Macaca fascicularis: one gene and its partners. The protein of the gene in region 1 purifies or fractionates together with the protein of each later gene. This does not show direct contact. Links are inferred from orthologs where the notes say so. Each region holds a gene or a part of one and is shown in the gene's direction. Other genes may lie near its edges.

Region 1 (4,292 bases):
AATGCCAGAATGTTTCATTACAGCATTGTTGATAATATCATGAAGAATTTTTTTAAACTAACAATCACTTTAAAATCCATAATTAGATTAAATAATTTATCATACACTTGGATACTGTGAAGCTCTTCAGAACACTAAAGAATAAGATTTTAGCCGGGCACGGTGGCTCACGCCTGTAATCCAGGCACTTTGGGAGATGGAGGCGGGTGGATCACCTGAGGTCAGGAGTTCGAGATCAGCCTGACCAACATGGTGAAACCCCGTCTCTACTAAAAATACGAAAAACGTTAGCTGGGCATGGTGGTGGGCGCCTGTAGTCCCAGCTACTCAGGAGGCTGTGACAGGAGAATCACTTGAAGCTGGGAGGCAGAGGTTGCAGTGAGCCGAGATCGCGCCCCTGCGCTCCAGACTGGATGAAAGAGCGAGACTCCGTCTAAAATAATAATAATACTTCTATATATGCTATTATGGAAGGATATGTGTAGTTAATACTAAGTAAAAAGCAAGTTGCGGAATTAAACATCCCATTGCCATTAAAAAAATAAATAGCACAGTCATCTCTCATTTGCTGTTGAGGATTGGTTTCCAGGACCCCTTATGAATACCAAAACCAACAGGTGCTCAAGTCCCTTATAGAAAATGGGATAGTATTTGCATATAACCTGTGCACATTCTCTGCTATACTTTAAGTCATCTCTGGATTACTTATAATAGCCAATGTAATGTAAATGGTGTGTAAATAATTGCTATGCTATATTTAGGGTATATGACAAGAAAAAAAGTCTGCTCTGTTTTTTTTTCCCCCCAAGTATTTTTAATTTGGGTTTGGTTGAATTGATGGATGCAGAACCCATGGATACAGAGAGCCAACTGTATGTATGTATGCGCATGCAGTTGTATATGCCTAGAAATTTTCTGGAACTACTGGTGGTTTAACAGCTACCAGTGGTTATATTCCAGAGAGGGGAACTGGGAGATGGGATGGGGGAGAGACTTTTACATTTTTCCTTTAAACATTTATGTGTATCTGATTTTTGCCAGTATCTCCTTTGAATTTTAATATCTGGTTCTTTACACCTATTTAGGTCACGAGACATGTGTAGAACTGCTTTTAGAACAGGAAGTTTTCCAGAAAACGGAAGGAAATGCTTTTAGTCCATTGCATTGTGCTGTGTAAGTAAAGCCAGAATGAATCAGACTTGGTTTGAGTGTTTTAAGAAATATACCATTGCTGTGAGAATGATCACCATGTTACCTTACACAGGATAAATGACAACGAAGGTGCTGCTGAGATGTTAATTGACACATTAGGTGCCAGCATTGTGAACGCCACAGATTCAAAAGGAAGGTAGGAATTCAACTATGTATTAAATAGTTTTAGCCAGGCACAGTGGCTCATGCCTATAATCCTAACAATCTGGGAGGCCGAGGTGGGAGGATAACTTGAAGCCAGGAGTTTAAGACCAGCCTGGTCAACATACTAAGACCTGCATCTCCACCCAAAAAAAAAAAAAAAAAGACATGATGATGCATGCCTGTGATCCCAGCTATTCAGGAGGCTGAGGCAGGAGGATCACTTGAGCCCAGGAGTTTGAGGCAGCAGTGAGCTGTGATTGCACTATTGCATTCCAGCCTGGATGACAGAGTGAGATCCTGTCTCTGCCCTAGCCCCCAAAAAAGTTTTATTTTCAATAAGAAATAAATTTTAACTACTGGCCTGGTGTGAGAGAATTTACAGAAAACCCATTATTATTTAAAAGTTGATTTTTTTATTTGCAAGTATAAATTGTTATAAGATCTCAATTATTTTTACATTATAAACGGTTTTTCTATTTATAGATTTTAGGAAATTTTCCTCCTTTAAACTATTTTAAAATGTAAATTTTTCCCCTTTCTTTAGAAGTTGTTTGTTTCCCAAAGATAATTGTTAACAAAGTTAAAAGTTTTCTAAATAGGAATAAAGGCTAGAAGAAAGTCCAGCAGTTGTAAGAAGTGGTGGTATTCAGGTCAGGATTTATTTCTTTCAAAATTTCCTTTAATGATGTAATGTTATTTTAGCAATTTTGTAATTAATCTTTACTTCATACTAGTTCTAGTTTAATTAAGGCCTTCTATATTATTGAAAGTACAAATTTCTATGGGAGAAATTAGTGAGCTCCATTGAGCCTATTTGTTTGTATACAGGCAGTGCTTTTATAGCCTAATATGTAAACCCTTAAAAACTGCATGTGACAAATTAAAGAATATTTTTCCAGCATATATAACATTCAAATTTAGTCATACGTTTCCATTTTTCTTTATCACAGAACTCCTCTCCATGCAGCTGCCTTCACAGACCATGTAGAGTGTTTACAGCTGCTGCTGAGCCATAATGCTCAAGTCAATTCTGTGGACTCTACAGGGAAAACACCTCTTATGATGGCTGCAGAAAATGGACAAACAAATACAGTTGGTAAATAAACTTTAAAATTGTATTTTCCTAAGTATGTGTATCACTTATTTATAACTTAGATCCCAAGACTTCTGACTTCAGCTAGTTATCTTACCACTCCTAAGACTTAAAACCTTTTACCTGTTTGCAATCCACATTTTCATTTAGGGATACAATGTTTTAGTTTGCACTTACTGATTGAGGAGTCTACTTTACGATGGCCCTATAACATAGTGGTGAAGAACACTGACTCTGGAGTTGGATTGCCTCAATATGAGTCCTAGATCTTCCAGCTAAATGACCTGATGCCTCCCTCAGTTTTCTCATTTACAAAATGAGAAAAATAACAGTATCTACTTGGTGGGTTGTTGTGAGGTTTAAATAAATTACTATAAATCCAGAGCATATAAAACAGTATTTAAAATTTAGTGCACAGTCACAAAATAAATGTTAATTGCCATTGTTAGAGTGTGTGACTTATACAACAATATAATTGTCTCATACAATTATGTGAAGATACAGTATATATGTTATATATTACAATATTTTTCTTGTACTTAAGTTTTTGTGAGAGGGACTGTTTTGCTTTGTATCTTCGTTTCTCTACAGTGAGTTATTGGTAATCTAAGAAACATGTTCATAAACATAAGAATTGATGCACTTTTTCCTCCCAGAGATGCTGGTTAGCAGTGCTAGTGCAGAACTGACTTTACAAGATAACAGTAAAAATACTGCCCTCCATTTGGCTTGTAGCAAGGTATGTATACATTTTAAGAACATGTTTTCATTGTTAACAGTGGCATTAAAAGTTTTTTGACTTCACTAAAATGAACAGAACTCAGGACCAAACCTCTCTAATGATCACTGGTATTAGATTTCTTGAACAAAATTATTGACTTATAAGGCACCATGGCGTATCAAAGTGTCCAGTAAGCCAAATAAGTTTTGGAACACAAGCCTAAGTATAATTATCCTCTTTCCTTAATCTTAATTTTGTCCTCTTCTCCTACCCTCACTCCCAAGATGTGTTTGGGCAAATATTAAGATATTAGCCAGGAAAATTCATGGCATATGAATGGTGTTGTACATATTATATGAACTAGGGTTGCAGATTGTTGGGTATATAAATGTACCTTGAATGGTACCCAAGTTTTTATAACTTATCTGCCACAATTTTTGTAGGGTCATGAAACTAGTGCCTTGTTAATACTGGAAAAGATAACAGATAGAAACCTCATCAATGCAACCAACGCAGCCTTGCAAACGTGAGTACTGTCAGTATCTAGTATAAACTTTGTGACCTATAATTATAAAAATGATAAATGGATTTTTTTAAACATGACTGTTGGAATAGGTTTCATTAGTCATAGAAGCAATTTTAATAGTTTACAACTGTCAAAACTCATTTCTAAAATGATCACAACTAAAAGGCATATTATTTAAAATGCTTTTGAACTGAAACTTCATTACAACATTGACAATAATGTATTTTGTTCTTAATCCACCTACCTAATTTTCTGAAGGAAAGTAGTACTATTTTGTATATTTTATGGAAATGAACTAATAATATGTTACTTGAAACTAACAATAAATGAGGTAAGAAGCTTTATGTGTGTCTGTAAGCAAATAAAGTTTCTGAAAGAATCAGACTTTTTAATAATGTGAGCAGCCAACCTCCAGATTGACTGACAGAAATCTTACATCAGTGTCTCTCATTGTCCTTTACTATTCCATTTTGAGGTTTAGTAAAGATAAAAATCTTAGAATATTGTTGCCCATTCTGGGATTAGTCAGATCCCTTGAAAGTCCAAAAATTAGTCATGATGCTTGTAAGCTGTTTTCAAAACCTATTAGAATTTAT
Region 2 (4,853 bases), on another chromosome or scaffold:
TGTTGTTGTTGTTTGAGGCAGAGTCTTGCTGTTGCCCAGGCTGGAGTGCTGTGGCGTGACGGCGCGATCTCGGCTCACTGCAAGCTCTGCCTCCCAGGTTCACGCCATTCTCCTGCCAGGTTCACACCATTCTCCTGCCTCAGCCTCCCGAGTAGCGGGGACTACAGGCGCCTGCCACCACGCCCGGCTAATTGTCTTGTATTTTTTAGTGGAGACGGGGTTTCACTGTGTTAGCTAGGATGGTCTCCATCTCCTGACCTTGTGATCTGCCTGCCTCGGCCTCCCAAAGTGCTGAGATTACAGGCGTGAGCCACCGCGCCCGGCCTTTTTTTTTTACTGCAACATCTGCCTCCCGGATTCAAGCAATTCTCCTGCCTCAGCCTCCCGAGTAGCTGGGATTACAGGCGCACACCGCCACATCCGGCCTTTTTTGTGTATTTTAGTAGAAACGGGGTTTCACCGTGTTGCCCAGGCTGGTCTCGAACTCCTGAGCTCACGCAATTCGCCCTCCTCGGCCTCCCAAAGTGCTGGGATTACAGGTGTGGAGTCTGGAACTCCTGAGCTCAGGTACACGCCTGAGCCACCGCGCCAGACCCTTTGTTTGTTTTTGAGACAGGTTCTCGCTGTCTCCTAGGCCGGAGTGCACTAGTGCAATCCGGCTCACTGCAGCCTGGGCTCAAGCGATTCCCCTGCCTTAGCCTCCCGAATAGCTGAGGCTACAGGCGCGGGCCACCATGCCCAACTAATTTTGTAAATTTTCTTTTGTAGAGACGGGGGTCTCCCTAGGCTGCCCAGGGTGGTCTCGAATTCCTGGGCTCATGCCATCCTTCTGCCTTGGGCCTTCCAAAGTGTTGTGATTACAGGCGTGAGCCACCGCGCCTGGCCAATTTGCAGTCTTTAAAAAAAAAAAAAAAAGTTCCTCGCGCCCACACGATTTTTACAGTGGGCCTCTAACATGGGCAGGGAGGGGGGGCTATTAAAGTTGGGGAAACTGAGGCTCAAAGCCAGATGGGGCCTTCATCAATCTAGACACAAGGTCTAGGAGGTCTCTTCCAGTTGATGCTATTAGAGGCGGCTTTGGGCGGAACTGGCAACACTAGCGACCCGGCCGGGACTATCGCCAGCAAATGGAAAGGACTGAGGGTTCCTGAGGCTCGCAGGCCGCTTATCTCGAGAGCCGGGCGGGACTAAGGCGCCTGGCCTTGGCTGGAGTGAAAACCAGGTCTGGATTTCACAAGAGCCCGACCCTGGAGCCAAAGCCGGACTATGATTAGAGGAGACAGAAGAGCGAACGGATTCCCAAACGGAGCGAGTGGGAAGGGAAATCCTGGGGCGGAATATTCACGGGGACTTGGAACGGAGCCGGTGCGCAGCTCCGGCTCATTGCGCTGTCTGGGTTTATTCCGGGCCAGACCGTTGGCACCAACGGGCGCAAGCGCGTCTACGGCGGCGGGGTTCAGGAGTGGGCGGGGTCGGAAGCACGCGGGCGCACGCGCACTGCACCACCCAGGCGTGCGGCCCCTCCCGCACCTGCGCACCGAGACCGCCGCGGGAGGGCGGGGCCTCCTGCGTCGTCCTGCGCTAGGGGGATTGTGGGATAGTGGCGGAGGGAGCCGGGCGTCGGAGGCCCTGAGGCGGGCCGCAGAGCCCGGAGACTGAGCGGCTTTGGGGAAGGGGCGGTTAAGGAAGTAGGCCTCGGCGTCCGTCGGTCGCTGCTCGGCTCTGCGGCCCGTTTGGACCGCGGAGGAGGACGTCTTCCCCTCCCGCGGGGCGCTGGGTTGGAGTGTGGAAACCGAGGCAACTTCCCCCGTCTTCCCGGCTGAGGCGCCTGCGCGGGCCTCGCGACCGGACTCGCCCGCAACCCGCCTTGGTCGGCGCGCCCACCTCGCCTGCGGACCCCGGAGGCGCCTACGCGGACTCGTGACACCCCCAGCCCGCCGGCAACCCCACCCGGCTCTGACCCCCTCAACTCTGCAGGACCCGGCGCGCGAGGACCCCACGACCCGCGGGCGCCTGCGCGGACCCCGCGAGCCCCGGCGCCTGCGCAAGTCCCCGACGCCGCCCCCGCCCCTACTTACCGGGCCCCGCAGCAGGGGCCGGAGCCGCCGGCGGCGGGGCGGGGGGGGCGCCCCGATGAGCCCCGAGTGCGAGGAGCCGCCGCCCCCCCTCGCAGGTGAGCGGCCCGTGTCGCCCGACCCTGCCTCTCCAGGACCAGGCCCCCACGTCTTCCCCTCTCCGGACCCCCGCCGGTCTTTTCTGCTTGGGATCCTCCTTCCTTCGGGTTCCCTCTCCACGGGCCCCCGTTTCTTCCCCCTCGACCCTCTCCAGTCTCTTAATCTCTCCTCAGCTCCCCCGCCACCCACCTCTCAGTTTCTTGCCCTCGGGCTTTTCCCACCCGCTCTCTTTGCAGCTGCGCTCCCCAGTCCCTGAGCCTCAGCTCCGCTCTCTTGCCTCTCTGGCCGGTCCCCCGGCTCCCCAGGAGTCTTTCCTCCTGGTTACCCTGGACTTTGCCCGCTCACACCCATCTCTCTCGCCCCAATCTCTGCCCCGCCGCCTCTTCCGCGGCGCAGCCTCCTTAGATCCGTTGCCTGTCACCCCGGAGCTCAGGACTGGGGGAGCGGGGCTTGTCTTCACCTTGACCGACCCTCTCCCGCCTCCGGTTTCTTGTGCGAGGGACCTGGGAGCGGGGCTTCTCTGGAGCAGCCACCACTCCGGCCTGCTTCAGTGAGATGAAGCCTGCTGAGGGCAGGCAGGGCGCCTGGCGCTGGGCTCCGAGGAGGGGTCATCAGTCCTAGGCCCTGCCCTGGAGGTGGGGCCGGTCCCTGGAGGGAGGGGGGACAAAGGCAGAACCGGACAGTCACAATTCCTGTGTGTTGTGATGGAGGTAACTTAGGGAGCTGCAGGGGGCCACAGAGCGCAAGGCACTGGTGAGACTGGCTGGATGGATGGCTTTTTCTGTCTAGGAAGGATGAGTAGGAGGTGACAGATGGAGAGTGGGAAGAAGGGCCTTCCGGGGGGGGGGGGAAGGAGCAGCACGTGCAGATATGTCAAGGAAGGAAGGTCGGAGTCCTGAGTGAAGATGTGTTGGGAGGGTGAGGGGCAGAGTAGCTCGGCCCGGGGTGCTTGTCCAGGCCTTGAATGGGACCTCTGGTTGGGGTCTTTCTTGCTCGCTCTTTGTACACACAGACATGACCATAAACATCCGCCTGAAAAGCAAGATGTTTCAGTAAAGGCAGCTGCGTAGACTGTCAGGCGCGGTACTGGGTTCACAGTTGTAGAGAAACTGCAGTGGGATTTCATCCAGCCCAAGGGCGAGGATCTAACCATCACCGTGCCCTGCAAATGCAGCAAGGACTGGAGATTGCCTGAGTAACCCGTGATGAGGACTTGGTTTACATCCATGCACAACACACGTGGAAATGCTCACGGCACCCGGCCACGTGTGCTTACTAGTGGTGGAACGGCTGTTGGAGCTGCTTGTGCTGTTTAAAATGTTACGCTTTTTTTTTTTTTTTTTTTTTTTTTAACTTTTGCCCAACATGTATCATTTTGCATAAGTTACATGAGACCACCTAACTCTAGTTCTGGGATTGGGATCATGAGAAGGCAGTCCAGCTAATTGTTAGAGGACCTTTTGTCAGACAGACCTAGGCCGAGTCTGGCTTCTGCTTTTCCAAGTGGTGAGATCTTGGACAAGTTGTTCTTCATCTGTAAGTGGGGATAGCAGACTGCTCTCCTCAGAGGGTAGTTCTAGGGATTAAGTGCAAGGTTTGTAGAAGCCTGGGTCAGAATGCAAGGTACATTGTGCTCTGCAATCAGTAGCTCTTTGGATGATGGTGATGATTTTGAGACTGAGTTTTGCTCCTTTGCCCAACCTGGAGTGCAGTGGTCTAATCATTGCTCACTGCAGCCTTGAACTGCTGGACTCAAGTGATCTTCCCACCTCAGCCTCCTGAGTAGCTGCGACTACAGGCACGTGCTGCAATGCTTGCTCAATTTTTGTATTTTTTTGTACACGCCCAGCTAATGTTTGTATTTTTTGTAAAGACTGGGTCTTGCTATGGTGCCCTGCCATGGTGCCCAGGCTGATTTCAAACTCGTGAGCTCAAGCAGTCCTCCTGCCTAGCCTCCCAGAGAGCTGGGATTATAGGTGTGGGACACCATATCTGGCCGTTCTTTCGATTGTTATTTGATTTGGGAGTGTCTGTTGCAGTGGTTCTCAGCTGGGGACAGTTGGTGATATCTGGAGATGTTTTTGGTTGTTCCAACTGGGGGGAGTGCTGCCAGTATCTGGTGAGTGGAGGTGGAGGCCAGGGATGTTGCTAAGTGTCCTCCAATGCACGGGCAGTCCCAGCACCAAAAAGAACTGTCCAGCCCAAATGTGGGCAGCGCAGAGGAGGAGAGCTTTGCTCCACTGCCGGGGTGCTGTGTGTCGTTGTGGCTCATTTACTCTGTTGTGACTCCTGAGCTGTGTGTTGGTGAGTTGTGTATTGCGAGTTGCCACCATCTTTGTGGCCGTTAGCTTTTGTTGGTTAATCTACTGTTTCTTTCCATTCGAGGAGAACCTGCTTGTCTGGTACCCTCCCCATTTTTTTTTCTGGGATGTGTGGCCCAGTGATCTTAACAGAACACCTTTCTCTGGCTTCAGTTTTCATTAATTCACAAGTAGCTTTAGTTGGGCCTGGCCTGACGCTAGATCCTGGGAAGTCAGCGTGTTTCAGGGGAGGCAGATGACTGAACAGGTACATCCTGTCACAGAGCCGAGGCTCACGTGCTGTCCTCGGGTGACTGTGGGATGCCGTGGAAGCCGTGTGGAGCAGGCCCCTGACACAGATGCAGTGGGGAGGCTCCCT
Region 3 (4,805 bases), on another chromosome or scaffold:
TTGTTCACAAAATACACTTTAGAGAGCAAGAGGATTCATTCCAGGAACTCTTGAGCAACAAATATTTATTGAGCGCCTGCTACTATTGGATTACATAACAGTCTCCTAACTGGTCTCTTAGCTACAGCCATTGTACCCCCACCCCTAGTCCCATACAGCAGCTTCCTTTTACTGATTTATTTATTTATTTATTATTTATTTATTTATTGGGACAGAGTCTCGCTCTGTCGCCCAGGCTGGAGTGCAGTGGCGGGATCTCAGCTCCCTGCAAGCTCCGCCTCCGGGTTCACACCATTCTCCTGCCTCAGCCTCCCGAATATCTGGGACTACAGGCGCCCGCCACCACGCCCCGCTTATTTCTTTTTGTATTTTTAGTAGAGACGGGGTTTCACCTTGTTAGCTAGGATGGTCTCGATCTCCTGACCTCGGGATCTGCACGCCTCGGCCTCCCAAAGTGCTGAGATTACAGGCGTGAGCCACAGGGCCCGGCCACCTTTTACTAATTTATTTTTGAGGAGGATCTCGCTCTGTCGCCCAAGCTGGAGTGCAGTGCCGCGATCTCGGTTCACTGCAACCTCCGCCTCCCGGCTCAAGCGATTCTCCTTCCTCAGCCTCCAGAGTAGCTGGGACCACAAGCACGCACTACCGCACCCGGCTAATTTTGGTATTTTTTGTAGCTACGGATAGGATAGAGATCTTTGTCTATTTTGTTCATGAAGTGTTGCAAGCTCCTGCAGCTGTACCTGGCACATCTTTGTTGCTCAATAAAGAGTGCTTGAATAAACGAATGCTGAAGGTACGCTAGTACCAGGTACTGTTCTCAGTGCTGGAGTTACAGCAAAAAACTCCATGTCCTTGTGGGATTCTCATTGGAAGTACGCTTAAGCTTAAGCCATTTTTCCAATCTTGGTCCCGCCATTTTGTTCCCTGTGAGATTTGGGGTAAACTACTTAAAGCCTCCAAGCCTCACTTTCCTATCAATCGTTACGAAGAGTAAATGGAAAAACAGCATTTGTATCGCATTTAGCATAAGAAAACCTTTAATATTTGTTTTCCTTCCTTTCAGATTGGAAGACTGGAGCCTGACATCTCTGCCACAGGCTTAGGCGAGGTTTTCACAGGGACTTGGAAAGGTGCAAACGGCCAGGCTTACCCAACTGTTAAGATATTCTGGTGAAAGAGTGCTTAAAAGAGTTGGAAAAAGAAACCAGTGAGTGGCTAGGACCACCTACTCCGCCGTTTTGCCTCGGAAAAGCCTGGCCGGCTGCCGGCAGGTGGAAGTCTGGAGAAATGGGAGGAAAAGAGGGGAGGTGGCTGTCCACAACTGAAAACTACACATCCCAGCACGCCCCGCGGCAGACGACTACGGGTCCCAGCAGGTTCGCGGGGTGGATCGAAGAGGGGTCTCTTGGGCCCTGTAGCCGGGGTTCTGCCAGAGGGGGCGCCGGGCGTACGGAGGTAGCGGGGAGAAGCGGGTCGAGCTTTAACGGCGCTGCGCAGACGCCACTCACGGGCCGGACGTGACGCAGGGAAAGTTCCGGCTTCGGCCTCCGCCGCTGCCGCCGCCGCTACTACAGCCGCCGCCGCTGCTGTTGCCGCGGCTTGTTATTCCTAAAATGGCGCCGCTAGACCTGGACAAGTATGTGGAGATAGCGCGGCTGTGCAAGTACCTGCCAGAGAACGACCTGAAGGTGAGCCCTGCCGGGGCGGGAGCCCTGTTTGCGGGCTCGCCCCTTCCGGCTGTGGGGCGCCCGGCGGCCCGCCCTTCCTTTCTCCGGGACCCCCGCTGGGTATCCCGTCCCGTCGCGGTGGAGGGCCTGCCCCAGTGCCAAGCGACCCGGTCCGACCCGGCGTCACGCCGAGGGTCGGGGGAGCCGAGTCCCCCGAATGCTGTCCCAGTTGCCTCAGTGGAGATCCCGAGGGATGTCGCGGCCTCTGCCCCAGGGTCGCCCCTTCTGGCCTTCGGGCTGCCCCAGGACCCGCAGCTGTAACAGCTTTGCTTAGAAGACTCGGCTCACCACCCCATCCCCGGGTCTCCCGCAGTCGGAGCCGAGCCCCCGCGGCAGTGCCCTCGGGATGGGGTCGCCACCACTGGAAGTGACAGGAGCGCGGAGTGGCCGGCGTCTGACAGGAGATGCCACCGGCTCCCGGAATGCGGCTCCAATGTGTTTAGGTCTCTGAGGAAGGGGCAGGCGGTGGGCCCGAGTGGTTTGGTACTGACGGGAACGAACGTCAGCTCTTTCTTTGCCACTCCTCCAAATTGCTTTTTAGGATCGTCGGTTTTCTTTTGCTAATTCAGAGGTGAATCCCGTTTTTGAGTATGTTGTTGAGGTTACTGAAGTGGATAAAGTAGTTGGTTCTCAATAAATACAAATACTTTTTCCTTAACCGCTTCTGAACTCAACATTTCATTTTCTTGATTTTCTAAAGGAGGTGAATTCTTTGTTACTCCTGAGTCCAAGTAAGAGTAAATGTATGTATGGGTAAGGAATGGCTTTGGTATACTGCTTTTCTTTTTTAAAAACTTTTTAATTATTATTATTTTTTTAATTGAGATAGAGTCTCACTCTGTCCCCCAAACTCGAGTGCAGTGGTGCGATCTTGCTCACTGCAACCTCTGCCTCCCGGGTTCAGGCGATTGTCCTGCCTCAGCCTCCCGACTAGGTGGGATTACAGGCGCCCACCACGACTTCCCGCTGTTTTGTATTTTTAGTAGAGACAGGGTTTCGCCATGTTGGCCAGGCTGGTCTTGAACTCCTGACCTCAAGTGATCTGCCCGCCTCGGCCTCCCAAAGTGCTTGTATTACAGGCCTGAGCCACCGCGCCCCGCCTAGGGTATACTGCTTTTTTGAAAAGTGTTTCTATGCATTTGCTGAAATCAGAACTTAGGTTTCTAGCAGTGCTTATCAGCTCGTGCTAGTATTTATCCGACTCAGTGTATTCTTTTTTTGGAGACAGAGTCTCCCTCTGTCGTCCAGGCTGGAGTGCGGTGGCGCGATCTCCGCTCACTGCAAGCTCCTCCTCCTGGGTTCATGCCATTCTCCTGCCTCAGTCTCCCGAGTCTCTGGGACTACGGGCGCCCGCCATCACGCCTGGCTAATTTTTTTGTATTGTTAGTAGAGACGGGGTTTCACCGTGTTAGCCAAGATGGTCTCGATCTCCTGACCTCGTGATCCGCCCACCTCGGCCTTCCACAGTGCTGGGATTACAGGCCTGAGCCACCGCGCCCGACACCGGCTCAGTGTATTCTTAAAGAAATATATTACTGTGGGTTTTGTTTTATTTCTTCTTTGTACAGTAAGTTGATACTTAACATCAGTCAACAAGTATGCATAATATTTGAGGCCACACATGGTGTTATGAATGTGCCTGAATTGTACTTACCTGTTAATTTTGTGTGGCATATGACAGGGGAGTCATTCCTCTGCATTCTCCCATTTTTAATAGAATAATTTAAAATAAGGACAGCCTTCCTTAGTAGTAATGTAGCATTCGTGCTCATCTGAGTCCTTCAGACACTCCTTTCGTGACTTCTTTCTGCTATGTGTTTTTTTTTTTAAGGAAATAAGAATACAACTAGCACTGGGATCCAATTCATGGAAAACTAACCAGACCTCTTAGTAGCATTATTAATCCCGTAGGTGAGGTTGACTATTGCATGTCAGTGAATTGACATGGAATTTTTTCTTTTTATTTATCATGCGTAAAACTTTTTTGAACTTTGTGTTTATGATGAATAAAATGTTGCTTTCTATGAAAATGTGTCTAGGGCGCGGTGGCGTAATCCCAGCACTTTGGGAGGCTGAGGCAGGTGGATCACTTGAGGTCAGGAGCTCGAGACCAACCTGGCCAACATGGTGAAACCCCGTCTCTACTAAAAACACAAAAATAAGCTGGGGGTGGTGGCAGGTGCCTGTAATCCCAGCTACTTGGGAGCGGAGGCAGGAGAATTGCTTGAACCAGGGAGGCGGAGGTTGCAGTGAGCCAAGATTGCGCCACTGCACTCCAGCCTGGGTGTCAGAGGGAGACTCTGTGTCAAAAAAAAGGTAATCTGTTGGACTTCTTTGTACCTCTTAGTTTGATAAACATTAGATTTCCTTCTTAAGGAAGTATAGTTTTTAGACCATTTTATTTCCTGCATTGTACTTGACTTGTATTTGTTTGTTTTTTTTCTTAAAATAAAAATCTTTTTATCTTTTTTTTTTTTTGAGCAGGGAGACGGTCTCACTCTCACCCATGCTGTAGTGTGGTAGCACAATCATGGCCTACTGCAGCCTCGACCTCCTGGGCTCAGGCAGTCTTCCCACCTTAGCCTCCTGAGTAGCTGGGACCACAGTCACATGTCCCCATGCCCAGCTAATTTTTATTTATTTTTTTGGTAGAGACAGGGTCTTGCTATGTTACCCAGGCCAGTCTTGAACTCCTGGGCTCAAGTGATTCTCCCACCTCAGCTTCCCAAAATGCTGGGATAACAGGCATGAGCCACTGTACTCAGCTTGTATCTGTTTCTTAATAAACTTAAAAATACGTATTTTGGGCATCCAAGACAAAATAATTCTGAATTTTTCTTTATAAGTTGAGACTTTTTTTCTGTCTTGGAAATGTTTTTATCAGATTAATTTGTTGTGTTGCTCATCTGTGGTGTATTTAAAGAAGCTTAATTTTGTTTCTGTTTCTTGGCATGGAGTGCAACCTAAAATTAGGACAAGAAAGTATGCCAGGAGTACTTTTTCTGAGGCTGTAAAGGCAAAATAAAAGCTGCTATTAAGAAAAGAAATTATTGAGGCCACTTAATGAACATGATG
Region 4 (4,885 bases), on another chromosome or scaffold:
AAATTAATATATATATAAAGTATATATAAAATAACTCTGCCTCTTGGAGCCTGTTTCCTCGTCTGCACAATCATGAAATTGTTTAGAGGATTTTTGAGGACCCCTCACCGGTATGATAGGGCAGGTATTACCCCTTTGTTCTTATGCAGTGAGGAACATGAGGAACAACCACTGTCACTTTCTCATCGTGTGGGTGAGATCCAGCCAGGTGGGGAAGGGCACACACAGTTCTACATCCGGCAGCAGCTGCTCTCTTCCACTCACCGACAGAGAGAATTTTTGAGTAAGGATAAACCATAGATTACCTAATTTGATGCTCTCATTTAATAGATCAGGAAAGACACAGGGTGAAGCGGCTTGTCCAAGGTTGCCCACCAGTGGCAGCTAGCATATTTATTTATTACGGACCCAGCATGTATGTTCCACTGTTCTCACATGTCTCATTTAACATCTGCATTCTACAGATAAGGGGATGAGGCTAAATAGGTGACACAAGGTCCTGTAACTAGTGACTTGGCAGAGGCAGCCAAGATCTTCCAGCTCTAACATGCCCTTTCTACTAGCCCACAGGAGGCAAAGAGGGCTCTCCGTTACCTCAGGAAGTCCGACGTCAGCCCCAGCTGTCCTCTGCCCCAGGGAAAGCAGTGAAGGTGAGTCAGCCACTGCCCCGCCCCAGAAGCTGTTATCTGGGAAGAGAGTGGGGGAGCTGGTCAAATATACTGCCGCCTGGTATCCACAACAAGCCATGAGCCCCGGATATGCTGAGTTCCTTGGTCACCCTTGTTCCTGGTGCTGACACTAGGGCCCTTCTCAGTGCAGCTGCCCTTGTAACCGCTCCACCCTGTACTTTCATCACAAAAAAATACAATCTTTCCTCCTCCATTGCTGTAACCTGCCTCTTAAAGGGACAAACAATCAGGTTTTTTTTATTGTTGTTTGTTTGTTTGTTTTGAGATGGAATCTTGCTCTGTTGCCCAGGCTGGATTACAGTGGCGTGATTTCGGCTGGCTGTAACCTCTGCATCCCGGGTTCAAGCGATTTTCCTGCCTCAGCCTCCCCAGTAGCTAGGATTACAGGTGCACACCACCACCCCCGGCTAATTTTTATATTTTTAGTAGAAACGGGGTTTCTCCATGTTGGCCAAGCTGGTCTCTAACTCCCGACCTCAAGTGATCAGCCCGCCTCGGCCTCCCAAAGTGCTGGGATTATAGGCATGACCCACCATGCCCGGCCAACAATCAGTTGTGAAGCCTAATTTGAGAGGGCAAAGGACGCCACTGACCCCGCTGAGGACCCTGCTGTGAAGTGGGTTTCCAGCTGCAGCTGTTTCTTTCCTGGAGATGTCCGCTTTCTCCCCTCCCCAGTTTCTCCCTGACCCTGTTGGAGGAAGGATGAACCTTCCCTGGACTGTCAGGTTCCCGTATAGTCTCTCCTCAGGGTGACCCCAGCATGGCTTCTTGTACCTGTTTCCACACAAGTCTGAATTCTGTAGCCGCCCTGTGTTCAGGGAATGCTGAAGACAGAGGGACCCAGGAGTCCCTGGGATCAGTAGTGGCACTGAAAGAGTTAAGGGCCTGGGCACAGCACTGTTTAGGGTGTTTGAAGTAGGGCGGGGAAGGGAAGGGCTGCAGTGGATGAAGAGGCAGCTGGTCTGTACTGGAATGAGTTCCCCCTTATGCAAACTTCTGGACCATGAGCAGCTCCCTTAAAAGGACCAAGAGAGAGGGGACCCCCACCAAGGTGCTGGACTGGTTCTTAAAGGGGCCACCTGAAGCAGGACTTTTTCCCACACTGAAGTCACCAACTGAGGGCAGAAACAGGTCTCCCATCTTTGGGATATCTCCCAGGTCTGGTGAGTTTCCCTCTCTCCTTTCCTGGGTCCTTGCCCTCAGACCCTCTCTTGCCCCACCTGTCTGGCATGGCACCCAGAACACATGCCAGGAAACTGGCAGGAGGTAGAAGAGGACTGGTTGGTCTTGACCCTTTTCTTCTCTATCCCCCACAAATAAAGGGTTAGTCTGGGTCCCAAGCCCCTGGTAGAATAAGCATACAGCTACAGGTCCAGCAGAACGGAAGAGGGCAGGGTCCCTAAGTTCAGTTTACTAACCAATTAAAAAAAAAAAAAAAAAGGCGGTCACACTTGGAAGCCCAGAGCAGCAAAATTCCTGACTGACTTATGAACCTAGTACATCAAGGACATGGGGATGATTTAGGGAGAGTGTCTGAGATGCCTGTGGCTGACTTAGTAGAGGGGTGTGTAGTTAGATTAGGGGGCTGGGGACGCCTTGAAATTCCAGAACTAAGTACAGATGATAATGCCTCTCAGGAGACAACCCGGAAGCTGATACGACAGATGGCTTTTGCCCATACTGGCCTCTGCCCCACTAAGGGATGGTAGCCAGGGCCCACCATTGTATTTGTGCATAGACTCTTCTGGGTCCTCTTCTCTGTGCCTGACACTTAAAAGGTGCTAAAATAATCTTTGCTGAATGAATGGATCCTCTATATCTTTTACTTTGCTTTCATTTTTGGAATTGTGGCACTACTCTCTGACAGTGGACAGGAAAGTCAGAGAAGGAGAATGAGTTCCAGGACACCAGCGTTCAGCCAAGTCAGGCAGATGGGTGAAGCAGGAAGGTATCAGAGACTTGGGTGCTCCTGTCTTGGAATGGGGTGTCTAGGGAGCACATGGGAAGGAATTGTAGCTCCTGGAGCCTTCTTTATCTGAGGCGAAGAGAAGCTCTGCTTTAGCCTTCTTTGCAGGGCACTGTTGGATTAATGGTTTACTTTCTACAGGAGAAGAAATGTTAGGTTAAATTTTGAACCATCAAAGAGTTTTTGTGACCCTGTGTCCCACCCCCAGGGCCAGGAGATTTGGAGGAGAGCCAGTACAACATGTCATTTGGCCTCTCCTTTCCTCCTCAGCCTTTATTATCCGATTCTCTTGGGTCTTCTCCAATATTGGCCACCTCGCTAGATTTAGGATCCCAGAGCCAGACTCAAAGCTTCTCAGACTGCGAAAGGGCCAGCCAGCATTGCCTCCAAGCAACAGCACCTGGCTGTTTGGTTGCTGTCAGCAGTTCCTCCCCCATGTTCGGTGTTCGCTGGCAGCAAACATAACCAGAGACCTGCCTGTGCCCCATCACCTCATTCAGGGGTCTAAGCTAACACAGGGAGCAGAAAGGATACACTGAACTTCTTTGGGACCCCTATCTCATTTCTTTTGGAAGCTGCTTCGTTTCTTTGGCTGGGGTCAGGGAGGTAGGAATGAGGTGGGTAAAAATAATGTTGCCAGATTTCTTTCAAAGCTAGCCACTTGGCCTGGTGTGGTGACTCATGCCTGTAATCCCAGCACTTTGGGAGGCTGAAGTGGGTAGATCACCTGAAGTAAGGAGTTCAAGACCAGCCTGGGCAATATTGTGAAACCCCCATCTCTACAAAAATACAAAAATTAGCCAGGCACAATGGCGGGTGCCTGTAATGTCAGCTACTTGGGAAGCTGAGGTGGGAGAATTGCTTGAACCTAGGAGGCGGAGGTTGCAGTGAGCCGAGATCGCGCCATTGCACTCCAGCCTGCCTGGTGACAGAGCAAGACTATCTCAAAAAAAAAAAAAAAAAAAAAAAAGGAAAAAAAAAGCTAGCCACTTGATAGGCTGGGCACAGTGGCTCAGGTCTATAATTTCATCTCAGCACTTTGGGAGGCCAAGATGGGTGGATCACTTGAGGTCAGGAGTTCAAGACCAGCCTGGTCAACATGGTGAAACACTGTCTCTACTAAAATTACAAAAATTAGCCAGGCGTGGTGGTGCACGCCTGTAATCCCAGCTACTCAGGAGGCTGAGGCAGGAGAATCACTTGAACCTGGGAGGCAGAGGTTGCAGTGAGCCGAGATCGTGCCACTACACTCTAGCCTGGGCAACAGAGCGAGGCCGTGTCTCAGAAAAAAAAAAAAAGCTAGCCACTTGCTTTCTTTGAGAGCTTGTTTTCTGGTTTCAGAAAAGAATTCAGGCTCCATAATGTGATGGATCAGCTTTGAAAACTCATCTCCGCCTCCTATCAGCTCTGTGACCCCCAGCCAGTTACTTAAGCTCTCTATGCAGCCTGTTTCTTCATATGTAAAATAGGGATAATAATGTCTGTTTCAAGAAATATTTGTGAGGATGGCACAAAATGGATGTTGGCACTCATTATCTCTCTCTATATAGGCCTCAGATGACATTTAGGAAGTAGGTATGTTGGCTGGGTGCAGTGGCTCACACCTGTAATCCCAGCACTTTGGGAGGCCAAGGTGGGAGGGTCACCTGAAGTTAGGAGTTTGAGACCAGCCTGACCAACACAGTGAAACTCCCTCTCTACTAAAAATGCAAAACTTAGCTGGGTGTGGTGGTGGGTGCCTGTAATCCCACCTACTTGGGAGGCTGAGGCAGGAGAATCGCTTGAACCCAGGAGGCGGAGGTTGCAGTGAGCCGAGATCGCACCATTGCACTCCAGCCTGGGAGACAGAGCAAGACTCCGTCTCAAAAAAAAAAAGGAAGTAGTTATATTGAGGTCTCAATGTCTCAATATCCCTTCTTCCCCAAAGCTTGTAGCCGAATGCCTGGTGTGCAGTGATCCTTTCATGTCCCTCTTTTATCTCTTTTCTCCTTTCTCCTCCTTCCTGAGATTTTGAGACCCGGTTGCTCTAGATTAGGAGTTGGCAAAGTTTTTCTGTAAAGATCCAGTTAACAAATATTTTAGGCCAGGCGTGGTAGCACATGACTGTAATCCCAGCACTTTGGGAGGCCAAGGTGGGCATATCGCTTGAGCTCAAGAGTTCAAGACCAGCCTGGGCAACATAGCGAGACCTTGTTTCTACAAAAATTACAAATATTATCCCGGTGTGGTG

Evidence for each region. The genes of interacting proteins can lie anywhere in the genome.
Region 2: the proteins of ANKRD28 (region 1) and PPP6R1 purify together in Homo sapiens (co-immunoprecipitation; 4 studies listed by BioGRID and IntAct, with this or other methods). This does not show direct contact. The link is inferred for Macaca fascicularis from reciprocal best matches to the Homo sapiens genes ANKRD28 and PPP6R1.
Region 3: the proteins of ANKRD28 (region 1) and PPP6C purify together in Homo sapiens (affinity purification with mass spectrometry; 9 studies listed by BioGRID and IntAct, with this or other methods). This does not show direct contact. The link is inferred for Macaca fascicularis from reciprocal best matches to the Homo sapiens genes ANKRD28 and PPP6C.
Region 4: the proteins of ANKRD28 (region 1) and ARHGEF2 purify together in Homo sapiens (affinity purification with mass spectrometry; 3 studies listed by BioGRID and IntAct, with this or other methods). This does not show direct contact. The link is inferred for Macaca fascicularis from reciprocal best matches to the Homo sapiens genes ANKRD28 and ARHGEF2.

The regions. Positions count from the first base shown.
Region 1 is NC_088376.1:32,673,116-32,677,407, forward strand, and holds part of ANKRD28 (serine/threonine-protein phosphatase 6 regulatory ankyrin repeat subunit A), read left to right. Parts: intron 1-1,085; coding exon 1,086-1,173; intron 1,174-1,264; coding exon 1,265-1,348; intron 1,349-2,306; coding exon 2,307-2,452; intron 2,453-3,040; exon of another isoform or gene 3,041-3,105; coding exon 3,106-3,188; intron 3,189-3,613; coding exon 3,614-3,696; intron 3,697-4,292. UniProt on the Homo sapiens protein: Regulatory subunit of protein phosphatase 6 (PP6) that may be involved in the recognition of phosphoprotein substrates. Involved in the PP6-mediated dephosphorylation of NFKBIE opposing its degradation in response to TNF-alpha.
Region 2 is NC_088393.1:63,193,097-63,197,949, reverse strand, and holds the start of PPP6R1 (serine/threonine-protein phosphatase 6 regulatory subunit 1), read left to right. Parts: upstream 1-1,587; 5' UTR 1,588-2,173; intron 2,174-4,853. UniProt on the Homo sapiens protein: Regulatory subunit of protein phosphatase 6 (PP6). May function as a scaffolding PP6 subunit. Involved in the PP6-mediated dephosphorylation of NFKBIE opposing its degradation in response to TNF-alpha.
Region 3 is NC_088389.1:18,865,394-18,870,198, forward strand, and holds the start of PPP6C (serine/threonine-protein phosphatase 6 catalytic subunit), read left to right. Parts: upstream 1-1,539; 5' UTR 1,540-1,616; coding exon 1,617-1,691; intron 1,692-4,805.
Region 4 is NC_088375.1:105,084,219-105,089,103, forward strand, and holds the start of ARHGEF2 (rho guanine nucleotide exchange factor 2), read left to right. Parts: upstream 1-1,619; 5' UTR 1,620-1,852; intron 1,853-4,885. UniProt on the Homo sapiens protein: Activates Rho-GTPases by promoting the exchange of GDP for GTP.